2 linked regions of the Drosophila melanogaster genome follow. The protein of the gene in region 1 purifies or fractionates together with the protein of each later gene. This does not show direct contact. Each region holds a gene or a part of one and is shown on either strand. Other genes may lie near its edges. The genes, in order: otk2 and fz2.

Region 1 (4,562 bases):
CATGCCATACCATACCATACCACACCATACCAATCCATTTGATGGGCGGCTGGTGGAAATGCAGGCAGGGGTGGTCGTAGTCGCAGTCGTTTAATTGCACTTGCCGCTTACTTTTTTATCTGCTGCCTGGTGGCGGAGTAACCTGCGCATGTGTAGTTGCCTTTGGATAACGCCTTTGATGTGTGGTGTGCGCTGTTTATTCGAGCGCTATAAAAAGCCATAAAATATGCATAAAGCACACTGGCAATTGGAGATTGCCAGCATATGCCAATGGAAATGGACATGGAAATGAAGCGATTAAGTGCAGATGCCGGCAATTGAAGGGAAATTGTCGCTGGATATGCTTTAGATGGAAATTCCCTACAAGATGATGGGTATGGGTGACACTGCCTCAAAGGATGGCATATCATGGTGCAAGCTAGTCAAAGAATCCAAAACAAATTGTTAAGTAATTTGGCATTGGAAGGATACCTTTTTCCTATCACAAATATAAGATATACTATTCAACATGTTGATAAACTATAATTGCTATGAAGAAACTTTCATTGTTTTAATTAAACGAAAGAAGAAACGCTGGAATGTCGCGCTATTTTACGACTTTTTATCGGAGGGGGGAGGGAGGGTTGCCTTTATGTGCAGCAAACTTCTCCGTCTGTCATAAAAAGCGCATAAAAAGCCATGGCAGAACACTCATCCGGGTTCCATGGGCTTTACGGCCGTGCCAAGTGGGCTTCCAATTTACGATGGAGCAGCGGAGGAAGTTTACGAGCCCCGCACAACGCTTGTCCGCCGCAAAAAAAAGGAGATTGAAACGATTGCGCTATAAAATGGGGCTCTATGAGAGCCATAAAATATTTATTCTACTAAAAAATAACTGTACATGGGATATATACACAGAGACACACACATGCATAAATACATAAAATATTTATATATATATAAACTAGATAAATATATAAATACAAATAGATTTCTGGGGGATTTCACAAGTTCCTTTTTGATTCTCAACAACAGAACGGAGTAACTTTCGAGGGGCATGTTTAGCGAGATCATGGAAAGTGGCTGAAAGGTTACTCCACAGGCGCAGGAGCACTACTCCTCACACAATATCGTCGGCCACCTGCGACTCCTGCTCCAGTATCGTGCTCTCCCTCAGCTTGCTCTTCAGATTCTTGCTGGAGTTGGCCTCCGTCAGGCAGGGCTCGTTTTCGTGATGGTCGTGCTCCTGACCATCGGTGGGCCCATTGACATGGCCATCTTCCAGCTGCACCTTGCCCAGGTGACGACGATAGCGGTACCACACCTTTAGGCCAAGCACCAGCACAAAGTACAGGAAGGCCAGGCAAATGATCACAATGATAATCCGGGTCACTATTGAATTGGACGCGGATTTACTTGACTTCAACACCAGCAGAACATCCTCTCGCTTCAAGCCCGCACTGCTGCCAATGGTGCAGCCGTAGCGACCCTCATCCTCTGGCCGAACATTGCGTATCTCCAGAGTTCCGTTCTCCATTAGGGAAAAGCGTTCCGGATCCGTGTTATTCTCGTTCAAGTAGGTGAGATCCTTGTCCCATTGAATGGTGGGTTTTGGCTCTCCGATTGCCTGGCAGTGGATCACGGCAGTTCCGGCTTCTGCGACCTCGATGGGTCCCTCCGGCGGAACACTGAACTTCGGGGCCACCACCACATTGATGGACACGGTGGCCGTGATTTGACCCTGGCTATTGGAGGCGATGCAGGTGTACTGACCCCGTTGCTCGTTGCTGACCTGGTTGAAAATCAGCGTGCCATTCTGATCGGTTACGTTAACAGGGAGAGGTAGCTGGGTTTCCTGGAAGGATTGAATTATATGTAAGTATTAAATGTTGCATCATGCAACTTTAATTTGATTCGAACATTCAAAAGAATGCAATGCTTACCCTCATCCATTTGACTTGTGGAGCAGGCGTTCCCTGCGCCTTGCAGTGGACCTTACTAAGAGTTCCCAACTCCAAGTTTTTGGAGGTTGGCTGTGGCACGAACTTTAGTTGCTCAATAACCAGGAGCACCCCACTGCTGGAGCTGGCAGCCACGGAGTCGTCGATGACCAACTGGCACTGATACTGACCGGCATCGCTGGCCAGCACGCTTGTGAATTGCAGGGCGCCACTGTCCTTGCTCAGCGCCACACGGGAATCCTCCCGCAGCATGGTTTCCAGCTGTGGTTCGCTCGTTGTGCTGTCCATCCTGCCCAGCTCTACTTGACGCAACGTTTTGCTATCCTTTCGCCAGCGCAGGATGACGCTGCTCTTCTGAAGATACCCATCCGGCAGTTGGTAGTCACAGGGCAATTGCAACGAACTTTGTTCCTTGATGGTAATCGAGGATTTCGGACCCCTTGAGATGCTCACATCCTCAAATGATGCTGGCGCGGCTGTGGGGCAGATAGTGGAGGAGTTATTGGAATGAGAAGAAAAGATGAGTCAGTCGGCCGACTTAACTCACCGTAAGAGCAGAAGATCAGGCAGAAGAATCCCAGGCCGCAGCCCAACAATCGTCGTCTTCCGTTCAGCCCCATTTCGAGCTAAAGAATTCTTTTGATTTCACTTCGTACTTCCTTCGCTTCTTTCGCACAAAACCGGTGTGTGCTCTTCTTTTCTTCTTGTTTATTTGCCGATTTTTGAAGGAATTCCGTTTGCCTTCGTCGGTTTCTGTTTCAGTTTCAGTTGCTGTTTCGGACTCTGTTTGCCCCTTGCTTCACTTCACCTCACTTCATTTACTCCGCCCGGAGTGGTTTATGGTTATTTTTATGTTACGCACACGCGTCACGCTTTATTATCCTGCCACAGAGGCAGAGCCCGGGGATCTTGCGAGCGATTCGGTTTCAAGGAGACCCACTGATGGTAACGCTATCTCGTGACCAGGGCACAACCTTCCGCGTTCGGTTTCGGAACTCTACTGACGCCGCATCGGGCTAATTTACCGCTGGCAGCCGGCGCACGGTTCGCACATGCGCCCTGTACTGCACCCAGTATTTCCCGTTATTTCTCGTCGGATGAGAGCGACTTCGCTGGTACTACTTTTTTTTAAAGACCTACTACATTTTACGGTTGCTTTCGGTGAAATAAGTAGTAAACGTTAAAAAGTGCGTTTTTTATAATACAAATGAATACCAATAGTATTTTCTTATGATGATTGACATTTGTTTATTTTCGAATTTTATGTATTAAATTTAACAGCTCTATAAGTATAAACCAATGAGATTTTCTTCGAACTGTTAAGGCCTAATTAAATAAATAAATTAAATTAAATTAAATTTTTTAATGAATATGGATGGAGGACATTGGTTACATTTTTTCACTTATTGGAAAACAAATTTAGCACTTTATATCAATTTTCATTGCTACTACTCAACTTTATCCGAATATAAGCTACTTGTCTATAAATACGATTTTAATTCAATTTTGAGTTGTATATTCGAGCAATTCTTGAGAATCTTGGGCTTATTGTCCATGACGAGTGGAAAGTGCAGTCTAAAATTGCGGTATAGTCGAGACGCGGTTATAGAGCGTCTGCCTTTTGGCCACGCGGAAGGGACAACGTGTCATCATCTTAAAGACGACGAAACCACAGACGACGAATAGTCCCCAAAAAACATAGGTGAAGAGCAGGATAAATCGATTTGGCTGCCACAGCACCGTGTAGCTCAGATTGTAGTTTTCTGTAGTCAAAAGCAGGGCATTACTTCCATGGACAATACAAAAGATATTTCCAAACTTACCCAAAACCGCGTAGCCCAATCCGATCTTGGACTTTCCCATGCGATACGAGCAAGTGGGCACCATTATCTCCAGATAGCTGTGCTCCTGCTCTTTGAGGGCCTTCAAGTCAAAATGCCTCACGGAGTTTTCATAAAAGTTGATCACCTTGGTGGAGGGGTAAATAAATATTCTGGATTCATGCCAGTGTCCTGAGAAAATGATATGTGGATCCAAGTCGCTGATGATGGCTCTCAACAGGGGTCCTCCGCCAATGAGCAGCGGGGCATGGGATACGCCAATTCTTAGACGATCCGCATTGTTATCCCTATCCGGGTTGCTAAAGTCCAATAGCATGCGGTTTATCTTGAAGAAGCGTAATCGATTGTCATAGTCAAAGAGGTCTTCACTCATGAATTCGTTCTCAAAGCGTCTTTGGTTCGAGTTGGATATGTAGTCGCCATTCTCGCCGCCAATATCATTGTCACCCGGCACATGGACGCGCTGAAAAAAGGCAGAGATCATGCGGAACTGTTAGGTTTTAAGGGGTCAATCCCATTCGCAAAGTTGTATAATCGCTTTGGAAAAACTTTAAATTGAAATAATTATAGGTGCAACAACAATTTAAGGTGAAGCAAAAGCAGTACTCCTTACTTTTTTGTAGTTCTTATTCTGATAAATTCGTCTGAACCGCTGAACGTACTGCTTGTACTCTTGAGCCGTGGCAATGTTGCCTTCGTCCAACAGATCGCCCAGGAACACTATGATGTGAGGCTGTGTAAAGGCAAGAGCTCGCTCGAAAGTCTTCGCCAGGTATCTATC
Region 2 (4,942 bases), on another chromosome or scaffold:
GTAATTATAATGCAATAATATTTATAGTTCTTCTAGAAGAAATAGCTTTGCAATCTCTTTTTTATTATTTCATATTTTATACCTTATAATAGACATATAATTGTTTAATGGTTGTTATAACTCACCTCCAAAATGAGTTCCTTTGATGTTCTCTTGGGCAGTGTAATTGGTATATTTTGTTTTTATTGGCGTTTAAAATTGCTATTTCACTTGGGTTTATTGTATTTCTATATTTATCGGTTTCGGATCGTATACGTTTGCATTAGCACGGCGCGGAACGGAATGGTTGCATTTTCGTATATTCTATATATAGGCGTTTGCTACATCAGATTGCTGATTATTTTGGCTGGAGAGATCCGCTTGATTTGACGAACCTGAAAAAGATATTGCCAATTAATTGTTGATCACGTGCAAGTGGCTAAAACAGCTATTAAATAGAAAACAAAGGACTTGCAGGGGGCAACCAAAACGCAGACGTGTAGTTTGCTGAAAAAAAAATTGAAAATAGAAAAACACAGACGACAGGTGTGAGTGAAAAGGTGTAACCCGGCCAACAACAACTAAATCAAATCGCAGGAAAATGCCTGCATTTTTCCTCTTTTCCCCTTCCGCCGCCCATCCATCGCTTGGCTGGATCTCAATGGGCTCTGGGGCAAATATTTTAAATGCGCAGATTTTTGGCATGTTTTAGTGGCAGTTCACGTTTTGAATTGTTGCCATGCCCCTCGGAAACGGTCCAACGCTCGTTTCACTGACAATTTAATACAAAAAATGCCAAACATTTTCACAAAATAAAAGGACCAGCACAAAAAGCCAACGTGGAAAAGTTTGGCAGTCGTATAGCGTGTGTTAACCCTTTAAAATACCCAAAAATATATGTGTTCGTACGTGTAAGCCGGGCTATGATAAAAAAGTTGTTTGGAGCGAAATTGTAGGTTCCTTTTTTATGAATGTGCTTTGCGAAGATATAAATGAGACACCAGTGGGTGTGTGGAATAGTTCAAAAGCCATTTGCATTAATGAAAAAGAAAAATATTTCAGTGAAATATTTAATACACTCAATCAGAAGGAAGTAGAGGGAAATTAAAATTAAGATTGGGTTTAATCATTACTTCAAAGAACTAAATAAATATTGCATAATTAGAAATAACAAGAAACAAAAATTAATTATTATTTAGGAAAATAATTAACCAAAATGACCAAATTTCCTATTTATTTAACCCAAACGCAAATATGAATAATATTCTTCGTTGGCCAGAGAATGTAAACATTTCTGCACTTATTGCTTCGACATTCCCTTAGCGTTTTGCATAATTTAACACACGGGTTAGGCTGTGACCCCTGCAAGAGCCACCCCCCGGATTTCCCACCCGCTGAGTCTGGAGCCCGGCCCCGCCCCCATTTCTTGCTAATACCATTCCGCCCCTTTCGACCAGAAGCGGTGCGTGTGCTTGCTGCTCCCATTGAAATGCCAGACTAACTCAATTAGAGTGCGCAGACAGAAGTTGAAGTTGAGTGTTACTTTGACTGCCGGCCAACATGCGAGTGCAAGAAAATATTTATAAATATTTCGAAACATCTGAAACTGCTCCTATTTAAAATGTAGGGAATTAAAGAATGCAATGATGTGGGGAAAAAACTTGAAGACGCGTCTCAATAAACAGACAGCCGGATAAAAGAGTAGGAAACTCGGCAAAAGTATCTAGATACTTTTTGCAGCTAGGTAGCTAGCTATGAGATACTCTCACAAAAACAGCAGCAAAAGCAACAGTGCTGTCTGGCTTGTGAACTCGACTCGTAAATGTACACAGAAAAAAATTGACCTGTCTTGGATCAATTCTTTATTGATTATTTACAACAATCTTATTGTTTTCAACATTATTCCACAAATGCAAAAAAAATCGTTCAAATTTAGACTTTAATTAAAAATAATATTGTCTTTGTTAATGAACTTGAATGAACTTTAATAAAGTGTAATAAGGTGTAATAAGGAAAAAGAAATAAATATTCGAACTTACATTTATAAAAAAAATGTGAAATTCCGAAAAACTTTAACAAAAATGGTCAAGAAATCAACAAGTTAAAAAGTGTATTTTTAGCGTTGTTGGAAATATAAGCTTATGTAAAGTTAAATATATTCTTTTATATTCTGGGCAAAAAAAGCAATATAAAGAGTATTTAGTCCTTTAAAGCTACGTCGAAATATCTACGTTTAACATTTGAATTTATAAAAAGTTTATGTTCTTAAACAAACAACAACTGAAACAAGATGTGTACACTCAAAATTTAAACTTATAAGTGGCTGAGTTTTCCTCCCTGTGTGCGAAAAACACAACAGAAAACAAAAATAAAATGCAAACAACGGAAAAGCGGAAAAAAAGAACTTGGCGTCGTCTGAGTTTAGCTCTCTGTGCTCTCTTTTCTTTTGCAGCTGTGTGAGTGTGTGGCTGTTGTTGTCTTTCCCATTTTCCCGTAGAAAATGTGAATGATTTTCCTTCACTTTCATCAACAGCTGCGCTCACACAAATGCAAGAAGTACTCATTTTCGAATTGCTTTTTGTTATTATTTTAGATACACAAATGAGTTAGCTTTTTCGTATCTTTACCGTTTGGCTGTGTTTTTGTTGTGCTGATTTTATATTTGTTGTGTTTTTGTATAAGTTTATTACTAATATATTTTTATTTGTTTGTATATTTTATTTGCAGATCTCTCGATTTCTCGGTTTTGTGTTCTTCGCCGGCTTGCTATTTTGCAAATGCCGCCGAAATTGCAATCAATTGCAGTTTTATATCTCCAGCTCACACAGATACTCACGCACACTCACACAAACACACACCAATGCGCGACGGCGACTGCGACGCCAACTGCGACTGCGGCGTCGACCGCGCTGCTCACGTCGTATGTCCGTTAATTAAACGCGCGATTTTTTGTTTGTTTCGGTTTTTACATATTATCTTTTCATGTGCTTCTCTCTTTTGTTTTTATTCCGCTTTGTTATTGTTATTAACTATTGTTATCAGCCCTCGGCGCTGCCAACGTCGACTGCGCTGCCTTTCGCGGCTGCTTTTTGGCTTTTTTTATTTCCCGTCTGCGGTGTAAGCGTCTGCGATTTTCACGTTTTTCCTTCTGCCGCGCTGTGTAGTTTTTCCGGTGATTTCCACTTGCCAACTGACTTTCTTCCGACTTTTCCAAACGGCCGGCCGTTGTTTTGCAAAATTCGCAGAGAGAGAGCGATAACGATTAAGAAATGCGGGGGAGGAAAAATAGAGAGATGGAATTACAAATGCGCCGGTCCAAAAAGCTCGCGAAACGATTTGGTAAACGGAACAGAGCTACGTGAAACGTAAGGCCTGCCCGGAATCACGTAACGTAATCACCAAACGAATCACCAAACGTTAATTTTTTGAAACAAGTTTCTGCAAAATAAATAAGTCATTATAAAATATATTAGAGCTATAAATTTATGCAATGTTATTAACGAAAATATTTTGTATGCTAGACTGGTCGAATGGACCAATAAAAAAGTAATTTCGCACCACTTATTCAAAATATGATGAAATCGTCCTGAATCTAACCAAGAAATTAGTCATAGAAATCAAAAATAAATTAAATATAAATGCGTAATAGTATGGATAGCCCATTTAAAGAAGAATTAATAGGTATCAAGATAATTACTTCAAGGGCTTTGATAGAAATTATATTCAGTAAAATCGCGTTCGCAGTAAAATAAAGAAAACGTATAAGTTCTAGCTAAATCATCACTCATCTTAAACCCGTTTTTCTTTTTTAAGAATACAAATTATTTCAATATGTTATTACTAGAAAACTATTATTAAGCTGATTCTAAATGCTTCATATTCGTGCAAATTTGTTTCAGATCTCCCACTCTAATCCGTATTAATTATTATAATATAATATTATAATATATTATAATATAATAATTTTATAGTATTATTTTATACTATTAGTACTTTGCGCATCTCCAACTTGAAAAGTCCAAATAATTTACCGATATTAATGTTCTATCAACAAAAATAAGCAATTACAAATTAGGTAATACACTAATTGAGCACATTAAAAACCCATTTATTTTAAAATATACACACCTACGTGCGTTTGAAATGCATTAGATTTTAGTCTTCAATTAGTTATCCACTAGTATGAACGTCAAAAAGCTTTTTATATTGGTTGACCTGATTCTGGGGACCCTAATCTTGAGCAGTGTTCGTGCAGAGGTCAGTAGTATAGAATCATATATGTAAGTCCTACTACATTAACCTATCTCAACGTATAGAAAGAAGTTTTTATGACGAAAATTGAGTGCCTCAATTATATGCCAGAATTGGTGAGAAACGTAAGCTGCTACTTAAATGAAACTTCCCACCCCACTGGTTCAATATACGCAGAGTTCATATTAACCCAAGATGTTGAGGACCTGAAGGGCATTTACATTTTGACATTTAAGAGAGGTTCATACGTGACGAATTTTACCTCTTCACATGTAGACTATTGTCAGATGCTATCAAGTGTGGAAAATCATTTTTTATTTAGAATGGTTACTACGCAGCTTCGCGAAACCGCCAATTTTCCTATACAATGTCCGTTGAAAATGGTAATTAACACTGGTAAGAAATTGTATAAAACTCTCTAATATCGTATTTTGGAAATTGTGTTTTAGAATAAACGGTATTACGCAAAGGGATTTACAGTTAACTCGAAATTTATACCCAGCTATATGCCAGAAACGAACTTCATTTCGGACGCCCATTTAAGCGTTAAGGATCGCAAAGTATTTCGGTTGCTTATTAAAGGTCGCTTTTCTAGAATACTTCGGCGAAATTATATTAAAACCGAATAGATCACTATATAAATCAAAATGTGTAATTGCAAAATAAATGGATTTTTTTTACTTACAATATTTTTGTTATACATATTTACAGA

Evidence for each region.
Region 2: the proteins of otk2 (region 1) and fz2 purify together in Drosophila melanogaster (affinity purification with western blotting, with the first as the bait; one study listed by BioGRID). This does not show direct contact.

The regions. Positions count from the first base shown.
Region 1 is NT_033778.4:12,022,329-12,026,890, forward strand, and holds otk2 (off-track2), read right to left. Parts: upstream 2,945-4,562; 5' UTR 2,561-2,944; coding exon 2,488-2,560; intron 2,417-2,487; coding exon 1,923-2,416; intron 1,835-1,922; coding exon 1,100-1,834; 3' UTR 818-1,099; downstream 1-817. Other genes in the region: Mppe (metallophosphoesterase), read right to left, coding at 3,516-3,703, 3,764-4,271, 4,395-4,562.
Region 2 is NT_037436.4:19,232,199-19,237,140, forward strand, and holds the start of fz2 (frizzled 2), read right to left. Parts: upstream 3,176-4,942; 5' UTR 2,816-3,175; exon of another isoform or gene 2,607-2,815; intron 375-2,606; 5' UTR 126-374; intron 1-125. Other genes in the region: CG33647 (uncharacterized protein), read left to right, coding at 4,162-4,236, 4,296-4,613, 4,680-4,859. UniProt on the Drosophila melanogaster protein: Receptor for Wnt proteins.